3 linked regions of the Cricetulus griseus genome follow. The protein of the gene in region 2 interacts with the protein of the main gene of each other region in a biochemical or structural test. Links are inferred from orthologs where the notes say so. Each region holds a gene or a part of one and is shown on either strand. Other genes may lie near its edges.

What was found.
Region 1: the proteins of complement factor H (region 2) and Crp form a complex in vitro, tested with the Homo sapiens proteins (12 studies listed by BioGRID and IntAct, with this or other methods). The link is inferred for Cricetulus griseus from reciprocal best matches to the Homo sapiens genes CFH and CRP.
Region 3: the proteins of complement factor H (region 2) and Ptx3 form a complex in vitro, tested with the Homo sapiens proteins (3 studies listed by IntAct, with this or other methods). The link is inferred for Cricetulus griseus from reciprocal best matches to the Homo sapiens genes CFH and PTX3.

What each region holds. Positions count from the first base shown.
Region 1 is NC_048598.1:20,185,269-20,188,106, forward strand, and holds Crp (C-reactive protein), read right to left. Parts: upstream 1,498-2,838; coding exon 1,434-1,497; intron 1,228-1,433; coding exon 614-1,227; downstream 1-613. UniProt on the Homo sapiens protein: Displays several functions associated with host defense: it promotes agglutination, bacterial capsular swelling, phagocytosis and complement fixation through its calcium-dependent binding to phosphorylcholine.
Region 2 is NC_048598.1:49,695,675-49,699,333, forward strand, and holds part of complement factor H, read left to right. Parts: intron 1-1,542; coding exon 1,543-1,719; intron 1,720-2,443; coding exon 2,444-2,620; intron 2,621-2,792; coding exon 2,793-3,002; intron 3,003-3,603; coding exon 3,604-3,659. UniProt on the Homo sapiens protein: Glycoprotein that plays an essential role in maintaining a well-balanced immune response by modulating complement activation.
Region 3 is NW_023276806.1:86,731,594-86,735,748, forward strand, and holds the start of Ptx3 (pentraxin-related protein PTX3), read right to left. Parts: upstream 2,858-4,155; 5' UTR 2,675-2,857; coding exon 2,545-2,674; intron 2,126-2,544; coding exon 1,724-2,125; intron 1-1,723.

The sequences.
Region 1 (2,838 bases), about 30 Mb from region 2:
TAAAATTTTAAAAACAAAAAAAATTACAAATTACACTCTTCTTTCTGTGTGCTTTCTCATCTATGTGAGGGTGATGGATTATCCAAAATTCTTTCAATTAAAAAATATATGTAAAAAAGCTAGACAGTGGTGGCACGGGCCCTTAATCCCAGCACTCAGGAGGCAGAGGCAGGGGATCTCAGTGAGTTTGAGGACAGCTTGGTCTACAGATAGAGTTCCAGGACAGCCAGGGGTGTTACACAGACACACCCTATCTTGAAATATATATATATATATATATATATATATATATATATATATATTTCATATATATATTTCAAGTACATATACATATTCAAGTACAATATATATATATTACATGTACATATAGTATATGTATAAATAAAAACATGTGTAATTCAGATTCTCTTTGATGAAGATTCCTAGTATGACGCACATGCTGCCAAGCCATATACTCAAATTCCATGCTCTGATGGAGAAAGGCAGAGCAGGGAAGTGAAAGACCATATTTACAGAATAGAACTACAGCATATGTTGGGGTTAAAAGGTCTATAACCAGAGACAAGGAAGAGAATGTAATCCCAGGAGGTGTCCCAGGGCTCACAACAGTAGGTCAGGGCCACAGCTGGGGCTTGATAAACACGTCACCCTGTGCATTATACTTCAGTTCCTGCCAGTTCAAAACACTGGGGCTGAGTGTCCCACCAACATAAACTGTGTTTATCTGTTCTGGAGATAGCACAATGTCCCACATGTTCACATCTCCAATGTCTCCCACCAAAGACTGCTTTGCATCAAAACCACCACCATATGAGTCCTGCTCCTGCCCCAGGATGATGCTTGCATCTGTCCCCACAGTGTAGCCCTTCTGCAGAATTCTCCGCACCTTGGGTTTCCCATCAATCCATAACTCTGAAATCCCTGTAGCAGACTCCCAGATGGCACAGATGTGTGTTGGAGCTTCAGGAATTTCTGAAGCCTTGAATAGTACTTCAGGCCCACCCACTCCAACAGTATACCCTCTATCCTTAGACCAAAATATGAGGATGTCATTAGGGTTTTTCTTGGTAGCATAAGAGAAAATACTGAAGCCACGGGTTGTGCTCAGTTCTGTGTAGATGTGGAGACACACAGTGAAGGCTTTCAGTGGCTTCTTTGTCTGTGCTTCCAGGGACACATAGGAATTGTCGGACTCTTTGGGAAATACGAAGGCCATTTTAGACATATCTGTGAGACAGAAAACCAAGAAAGTGAGTAGTTTCTCAGATAACAAAGATTCATCCCTCACGAGTAGAGTTTGGGATCAAGAGACATGTGACCTTTCCTAGGTTACACAAATATGCATCTATACCCGATGCTGTTTCTTGAATTCCATATGTAAGATATTAGGCTCTCATCCATCCCCCCCATCAGATCTTTATAATAGATCCTACCTTTCTGGGCAAAAGTCTGAGAGAGGCTGATCAGGACCAGTGAGCACCACAGGAGCTTCTCCATGGCTGTTGAAGCTGCTGGACCTGGATTTCCCCACTAAGAAGACACAGTTTTTTCTGAAAAATCAACGATGAGAGGTCCTGGATCTCTTTCCTCAGTCCCAGCCCAACGTTGGATTTATAACTATAGCAGAAGGAGAGGCTGTACCACTTTGTAAATGATTTCCTAACACTGTCTCTTGGGGCAAACGTCAGACCACTGGGAGGAAGGGAAGCCAAAATCATTCTGGAACAGAGAAATCAATGTAGGTTATTTATTACAAACTCCTGTGACCACTGAATCACCAGTTTCTTTGAGACAGGAAAAATGAGGAAGCTTCCCAAGGCTCCACTTTGCCTATCTAGGCTAAGAAAATAATGGGAAATCTTCATTTAATAGACAAGCACTCGTGTGTGTGCACACGATGCTCTCATCTCCAGCATCTGCTAAGCACTTCCGGAAGCTGTTCTCTTACACTTTGGAAAATGAAGAAAATGAGCATTCCATTCCCAGCACCAAGAACAAATCTTTCTTGGCCAACAGCGTAGACTTATCAGAGACCTTTGACAGAACGCAATGCATGCCCTAGCCCAAATGTACCACTATGTTCAATTTCATGAAACACTGTTGTTTGTTTGTTTATGTGGAAGCTTCATAGAAGAGTCAGGATGATTGGTTGTTTGCTTCTTTTGTTAAGAAATCTCATTGGCCCTCCACATAGCTTCACTATAGTTGAGCAGTTCTATAGCTCTGTACTTAACTCAGTCTTGTAGTTGAATGCTGTGTCCCTTCACCTTGCTCCTGAACCCCTTACAATCTTATCCATTCTCTCATTCCATTCATGAGTCACCCTCTAATTAAGAAATTGGAGAAGAAATACTGTATCCCCTGAAGCAGAAAACCATTCATTCAGTAAGAATACCAGTCTTAGTTTGGTGCATTCCCATCTTACCAAACACTAGATTTCTCAGTCTTAGCTACAGGCCAGAATGAGGGCTGGACAGGATAGGGACAATCTCTACATTGTGCCCTTTAAAGTGAACATATATGGCTTCCCTTTCACTTCTTCCTTCCCCTCTGGCTAGCATTCATCCACGCTGATAGGAGATAAAGCAGTCACCTTTGTCTGACAAAGGGCAAGCTGCATGTTGAGGTTGGCACAGCAACAAGATAGACTGAACCTTTAATTTTTATTATGAAGCCATAGTATCAGCCCTTGACTATCAACCTGAATATTTGCTTAACGAATATGCAGTCTTACACTCTGTTAAATCACTATGAATTTGGTCTTTTTCATATTGAAACTTGGTTGACACCACTTTATATTTTTACACTGTAAAATCTACCAGCCTTCCTGCCTCCCCT
Region 2 (3,659 bases):
CAAGGGCTGAAGCAGCTCTCCTCTGCACTCTCTGCACTCTGTGGGGGCTGGAATAGCCCAGCGAACTCAGCAGAGTCAGGATCCCAGGGGCCTCAGGGACTGATTCAGTCAGTCTGCAGATCCCTGGGCAGGATTTGCCAGGGCGGGCAGGTGGAAGTTGAGCTCAAGTTAGGAGCCAAATCAGCTCACCTCTGGACTCTCCGCACTCAGTGGGGGCCGGAATGGCCCAGCGATCTCAGCAGAGACAGGATCCCAGAGTCTTCAGGGACCAATTCAGTCACAGAAGTATTTTTGAAGCTGTTTAACAAACAATTTCATATGGGAGAAAATTCAGACATATCAGGAATGAAAACAATTTTCCATTCTGTTACAAAATTATGTTTTATTATTTGTTCAATTTTCTGAGATTTTATTCTGTTGATTGATCTGCCTATAGTGACCTTCATATGACTTTCCTCAGTTATCATAACCTTGTGCTGCAATGTTAAGCTTACAGTACAAACATATTTATCCCTCCACTATATATTCTTATTATTCTCCATACCTATAGCTTTCTCATCACAAATAAGAGATTCTTATGAAACAAATCAATCACATAGTTCCCATGCCCCCATGACTATTGGTCCTTCTCAGGTGTCTTGAGATTTTTAATTACTCTAGTCAATATTTTAAATATTGTTTTCGAAGAAAGTTATAGTACTTTGGCTAATCACTTGCTTTTATTTACTCTAACCATATACATTTGACTCTTCATTTCAAATTATTAGCAAATGTATCCAGGACCCATACTGAAATTTTCTCAGATTCAAAAAGGACTCTCATTGTCCGTTAGAAATTACAACACATAACACATTGAAAGGTGTATACATAGCCCTTACTTAAGTCATAACACAACCAGTTTTATTATTATGACATAATATTGTTGTATTATTGGATGATCTATAGCATAGGAAATAATTTCTTATGGAGTCTTACAAATGGAATATGAAGGAGAGTGACAGTGACTACAACTATCTAATATCTTATACCAATACTAGCAATTAAACAACTGTTTAAAACACAGTATAACTTTGATATTCTTTTTGTAACAACACATCTATCAAAAAAGAAAATTCAATCTAGCAAATTTTTAATAATCTATCTGCTCATATTTTACTTTTAGTATTTTTGACATTATGGACTAAAATTAAGATAAGGGGAGAGCAACAAATGTGAACATTTCACAGCTTTCAAGCATGGGACCAAAGCTGGTCATGTCATTTCCTATGTAGAGTATCTGAGACAGTGATTTACTTTGCTCTTGTAGGTTTCAAGTACGCATATCCCTTTATGATACATACTGTCTCTGAGACGTAAAAGACTGGACATCATAGTTCTCACATCATAGACCAGTCTGTATGGTGACCTTATCATTTTATTTGGCAGAATTTATAGGTATAAATAATAGTTTCATTTGTACATTGATTGTATAGCTATTTTAACTTAGCAGGTAGCTCATTTCTTGAAATTGATTTTATTTTTCCTGGAATTATTTTCACATAGCAACAGATCAATTGGAGAAGTGTAAAGCACCAAAGGCAAAGGATAAGGAAGCAATTCAACCCAATAGGAATGAATTTAATCATAATGTCAGTGTGAGTTACAAATGTAGAGGAAAGCAGGAGTATAAACACTCAATCTGCATCAATGGAAGATGGGATCCTGAGCCAACCTGTACAAGTAAGCTCTTGTTTGCACTGTCCTCTAGTGGTTATTCTAGTATTTACTTACCTGTGATAGTAGTAGCCTTGAGCTCTTAAACCACAGTAAATTTTGTTGAGAATTTCTTATGTGAATTCTGCATTTTTATCATTTCCAACTCTCCCTCTTCCACTTGAACAACTCTGAGTCCCCTGTACTTTCTGTCCAATTCATGACCTCTTCTTACACACACACACACACACACACACACACACACACACACACACTATGCATACATTTACATGCATATATATACATACATATATATATATATCTTGTATATATAAATTCATCCTGATGTGTCCATTTATTGTTTTTCCTATAGATATATGATTAGCACTAAGAACTTGAGATTGGATAACCTATTTGTTGGCTCACCCATCCCTGGAAAAGTTTAATTTTCCTACTCTATGTAACCTTAATTTAATATATTTCAGATTATAATTCATTTAAAACATCATAAAGACTAGAATAAATTAAAATAAGTTTGATAGAAACACTGCAAAACTGCTTTAAAAAACAAATGAGAACAATTCAAAGGACAAGAATAATTACTAAACTGCTATATAAGGTGAAAACTATAAAATCTACATAACTATTATACAGTCATAAGTAATTTGTCATTTAATGATAATCATTACTTCAATAATTTAGATACTGTATTTAGTCAAGAATTCTGGTTTCTGATGTATTTTGGGAGCAGACAAAGGATCCTGCCCTCCTCCACCGCAGATTCCAAATGCCCAAGAGATGCAAACCACAGTGAAATACTGGGATGGAGAAAAAGTATCTGTTCTTTGTCAAGACAATTACCTAATACAGAACACAGAAGAAATGGTGTGCAAAAATGGAAGGTGGCAGTCATTGCCACGATGCATTGGTCAGTAGCTATGACTTATTTTACAACATTATTGTTTTAAGTACTCTAGAGAACTCAAGTGACGGCATATTTAAAAGCTAGGGCTTAAGATATAAACCAAACAGTTTGTTTCTGTTATCCAGTATAAACTTTTTATTTATGCATCACTGTTTCATTTGTGTTCTTCATATAGCAAAAATTCCATGTTCTGAGCCTCCTGAAATAGACCATGGACGAATTATATTACCACGATCATCAGAAGAAAGGAGAGAAACAGATTTTTCCAGACGTCATGAACACGGCATTACACTCAACTATGTTTGTGATGATGGTTTTATGATGGCTGAGGATCATGGTGTAACCTGCCACATGGGAAAGTGGAGCTCTCCACCTCGTTGTGTTGGTGAGAGAAGCATGAAAATTCAATTCTGGTTTTAGAACAAGTCTTTACCAATAATCTACTCTCATCAAAGCCAGGAGAAAGAATGGTTTAGACTGGCACATATAATCATTTACCACAAGTTTATATTTGCATAAATTGATCTATCCTGCTATTATTAGTTGGATTGATTGTCTTAAAATCTACTTTTACTCTTACATTTCTGTTTTTTAATATGATGCATAGTCTACTGACTTTACCTGCTCATGGGAGTAGTAGTGTTTCAGTTGTTCATTTGTCACCAAGTGTTAAACTTCTAAGTGCACACACCCGGAAATGCTGTTTCTGAGATTCTTATTTCCTTTTTTTTAAAATTTCTTTGTCACTCATGATTTGTCAGACATTTCAGTGTCAAGTTTTATTCAGGGTTGAATCAGCTTAAGATATTCGAGACAAAAGAAATTCTTCTTAGGAAGCACTGTCCACCTCTTCTGTGATGGCACATCTTCCTTGTTAACATTCCTTCCAATACCACTATACATAGAACTGACACATACAAACAAGTTTCTGAATTAGTGCAATGTGGAATCATTTCACTCTGTTCCTCTCATTGTGTTATTTTAAGGACTTCCTTGTGGACCTCCACCTTCAATCCCTCATGGGATTGTGTCTCATGGACTA
Region 3 (4,155 bases), on a different chromosome or scaffold from region 2:
TTTTTCTAGCCACAACAATTAAATCAAATGATTGTGGAAACAAAAGATTACTATTTGTGTGCATCTGAAATCTCCTGGCCTCTGTAAATTTAAATAAAGTGCTGTTCAAGAGGGTGTCCACTGCAATCTAATTATCAGCCTTCCTGTTTAAATACAGCCAGGAAGTGAGGATTGCATTCCACACCTACCCAGGACTATGTCTGGGAGACCCACTGTAGGCTGCAGCAGCTACTTGAGTTCATGCTGGAAAGTAATGTAGGCAGATTTTGTGGGATTCTTTTACAGAACAGTGATTGAGTCTCTGGGGACCTCTTTGAAATGTCAGTAACTCTCTCATGAAATGGCTTTTCACTAATAAGTCTTTGTAATTATATTATCAAAGACCAAGTGAAATGAAAACCAGGTTCTTAGGAGGCAGACCACAGCATGATTAGGAATCTTCTGGGAGCCAAGTTGGCAGGACAGCAAGAGAGGACAAATCAAAGGCTGTATGGGAAAGTGTTATTGGGTATAATAAGCATCAACAGTTTAGAATTGGGAAACGTATACATCCCTCTTCTAGCATAGGTGAGGGTACAAATTAGAGTAACTCTTCCTTGTGGAGGAGTACTTTTATCTACATGACTTTACCCAGTTTGCAAAACAAAAACATCCATGTGTTTATTACATTTGTCGAAGAATTACCACACTGAGGGTTTGCTTTAGATTTGACTTAAGGCTTTTTTCTCTGAAGACTTACTTAGGTTTAAGACCATAGCCTCCATATTGACAAACAGTCCTCAAATATTTAGAAAGGACTGATGGTAGCATGGGTTCTGTAAAGGAATGGACCGTGCACTGGAGAGTCCTTCCTCTTACCTCATTAGTTGGAAATACACAAAAGAATGGCATTGTTTGGCATTGTTTCTGAGATTCATGAGAAGCACAGGGGATGTTTTTCTACATAGGGCACTAATTTCCTAGAGTAATCAACACCACTGGAACCTCAGAAATTTGACATAAGAGGCATATTCCTGGGCAGTAATGTCCTGCTTCTTTAACTTTAAAAGCATACCGTTGGAGGCCCTCATCAGTTGGGAATCTTAAGGAGTGTGGACTTTGACAAGCTGCATAGTCTTCTACAGTCCGGTTCTTGTGTGGACCTGCGGTCTAGATGGAGATGTCATCTACACCCTGGACTCCTGTTCCTGACTTCACGGAATTTACTCCAAACCCCACACCCCTTGACCTTTACTGTGCAATTAACTGGACTGAGGAAACCCTGGCAGAATTCTGCTGACTCTGCAGGAGATCCAATTAGGCTCAAGTCAGCTCACAAGAAGCAGAGGGGGAGGAGTCCGCAGAGAGGCTGGCAAAGTAGTTGAAGTAAACCCCGGCCCTGAAATAGTGTAGGAAACCAGAGCTCGCCTAAAGGCAGAGACCGGATAAAATTAGAAGACGTGGAAATCCCTAACGGAGGGACTCGGGATTATAATATCTGGTCAGATCCGGTATCAGGGACCTCTGACGTCTACTTCCAGATTGGTGGTTAAACCCCCAACTTTGCTAGGTCTGGGATATACTTTTTAAAGGCAATGTGTGTTATATCTGAGCTTTGTGAGCATGGATATGAAAAATTCCGGAGTTCCGCGTGTGAGGGCCCTCACTGAAGCGTACCTGGTGTGATTAAGTACGGTGGGCTCTAGGGACAAAGCCGACGGTGGGCTCTGCACCCGTTGCTTACCTGCGGGCAGCCAGCGGCGGGCGAGCCAGCTCTGCACCGCACTCAGGTCGGCACGCGTCCTTTGCAGTTCCTCCAGCACTGCACCCAGGCCGGGCACTGTGGCCTCGGGCCGCCGCGCCTCCGCGTCCTCCAGGCGTGCCAGCCTGCGGCTCACGTCACGGCTCTCCTGCAGCAGCGGCTCCAGGACCCGCGCCAGCCTGGCGTCCGTAGGGCCCCCTGCAGCACATGGCCTCGCCATGCCGCCCGCCAGCCGGCCCAGCTCGGCCCGCAGCCGCTGCAGCTCGCCGCGGAGGACGTCGTCGGTGGCCTGCAGCAACATGCCCTCCCGCATCTGTGAGTTCTCCAGCATGATGAACAGCTTGTCCCACTCCGAATGCTCCGGGCGGCAGTCGCATGGCGTGGCTAGAGCGCGGGACACACACAACTTTACCAGCCTACCCGGCCGGTGGGTTGCACCCTCAGTGACCTCAAGTTTAAGCCTGTCCCCAACAACCCTCCTCCTTCTAAGGATAGCGCTGAAAACAGCGTGCGTATAAACTTCTCAAAAAAATTGACACAGTAACCATTCTTTACCTGCAAGTTTAACCTAACTGGAGAACTGCCATCGCTGTAGCTAAAAACAGTTCAAAAGCAGCGATTTCATCTAGTCTAACTCATTATATACGTTGCAAAAAAATTTAAAACCTCTGACTTTTCTCACTTTTACAAAACAAAATACGATTTTAGCTTGCTTCATTGGCTACTAAGTATATTATGTTATTTGCAGCCCCAAAAAGTGGGTTATGTAGTTGCCGTGACTGAGAGAGTTAAAATAAACTTACGGTCCTCGGTGGGATGAAGTCCGTTGTCTATTTCGTTGTCCAAATGCACATACATGAGCTCATAGTCATCCGAGGTCTCAGCCAACACTGCACACCAGAAAGCACAAAGAAGAATCGCAGGGAGATGCATTGCTGGAGAGACGAAGTTTGCTCCGCAGCTGCGGTAGGGGAGGAAGCGAGGCTCTCCAGTGAACCGAATTTGAGCCCGGGAGAGATAGAGTGAGGCAGGAGCGAAGCCCTTAATAAAGGCTCCAAAGCCTGAACTGGGATGAATGAGTAATGCCGGTGGCAAAGCGCGGGGGAGTTCCCCTGGATTTGGGGGAGGGGGTTGGGTGGGAGGACAAGGGAGCCGAAGAGGTTGCACAATGTTAAACCGCAAAAGTCCACACTGTAGGCAGATTAATTAGAAGGGGGGGGCGGGGAAACAGGACTTTGCTGGTCCTTATGAAGATCATTAGCCACTGAAGCCTGAATTGGTAGCACTACTGGGGGTGGAAACACAGAGGTGCAAGGCAAGTGATCGTTTTGGCACTTTGTGTGAGCTTTCACTAGTCCACAAACCCTTCCTTACGTTATAGAAAACTTTTTTTTTTCACTTTCCTTTTGGACACTTTCTCAAGTCCAAGCTATAGAAAATGATTCTGTGACTTCAAGATAACCTGACACATTAAGAATTTCTATGTTTTTAGAAGTCAAACCCATTCTGGCTTCCTTGTCTTTACTCCTCTGGAATTGCAACTAACAAATACAGTACAACTAAGTAAACCTCTAATAAAAGGGGAAACTGGGAGGGATTGGAGATATGTTGGAGATATGTTGACTTCAGGACCTTGGAGATATATATATATATATTATATATATATATATATATAATGGAGATATATATCATTGGGTGGACATATCCTATAAAACTCAGAGGCAAAGATCCTGTTTTAAATTTAAATTAGTGACTCCTGGTGTGTGTGTGTGTGTGTGTGTGTGTGTGTGTGTGAGAGAGAGAGAGAGAGAGAGAGAGAGAGCACTGAAAAATCCCACCTGCGTGAAATACCTAGATAGGTGTTGATATCATAATAGTAGTGATAAAAAACTTGAAATATTCAGATGAACTCTAAATAAAGCAACAATATACAGTGGCCAAAGTTCTAAAAGGAACAAAGCCCAGAGGGTCAGCTCCTGAGCTGATACCAGTCCCTAGTCCCCAGTCCCCAGTCCCCAGTCCCCAGATGAGATGGCTTTCCCCGACTGAATGCCACCAGACCCCTAAGAGTTTGTAAGTAGGGGCCTGCCCTCACGCATCTGGAGTGCACATCCATATACCAACCACCTTGGTAAAAATGAATTCACAGTTAAACATATCTCAACATCTGAAGGAATAGTACATCATAAATAAGAATCAACAGAAAGTCAAAAGGCATTAAGCCCCTGCTCGTGTCACTTATTTGAAATAACACCTAAAAATGAGTATGTTTGAAACCATTTTTAAGGCCTACAAGAAAGAAATGACAATATGAGACAATAGGATATTTTTTAAAGGGCAGTGTGGAAAGCTCAGTCAGTAAAGTGCTTCTCTCAGAAGGATGGCGACCCAAGTTTGGTTTCCAGAATCCACAT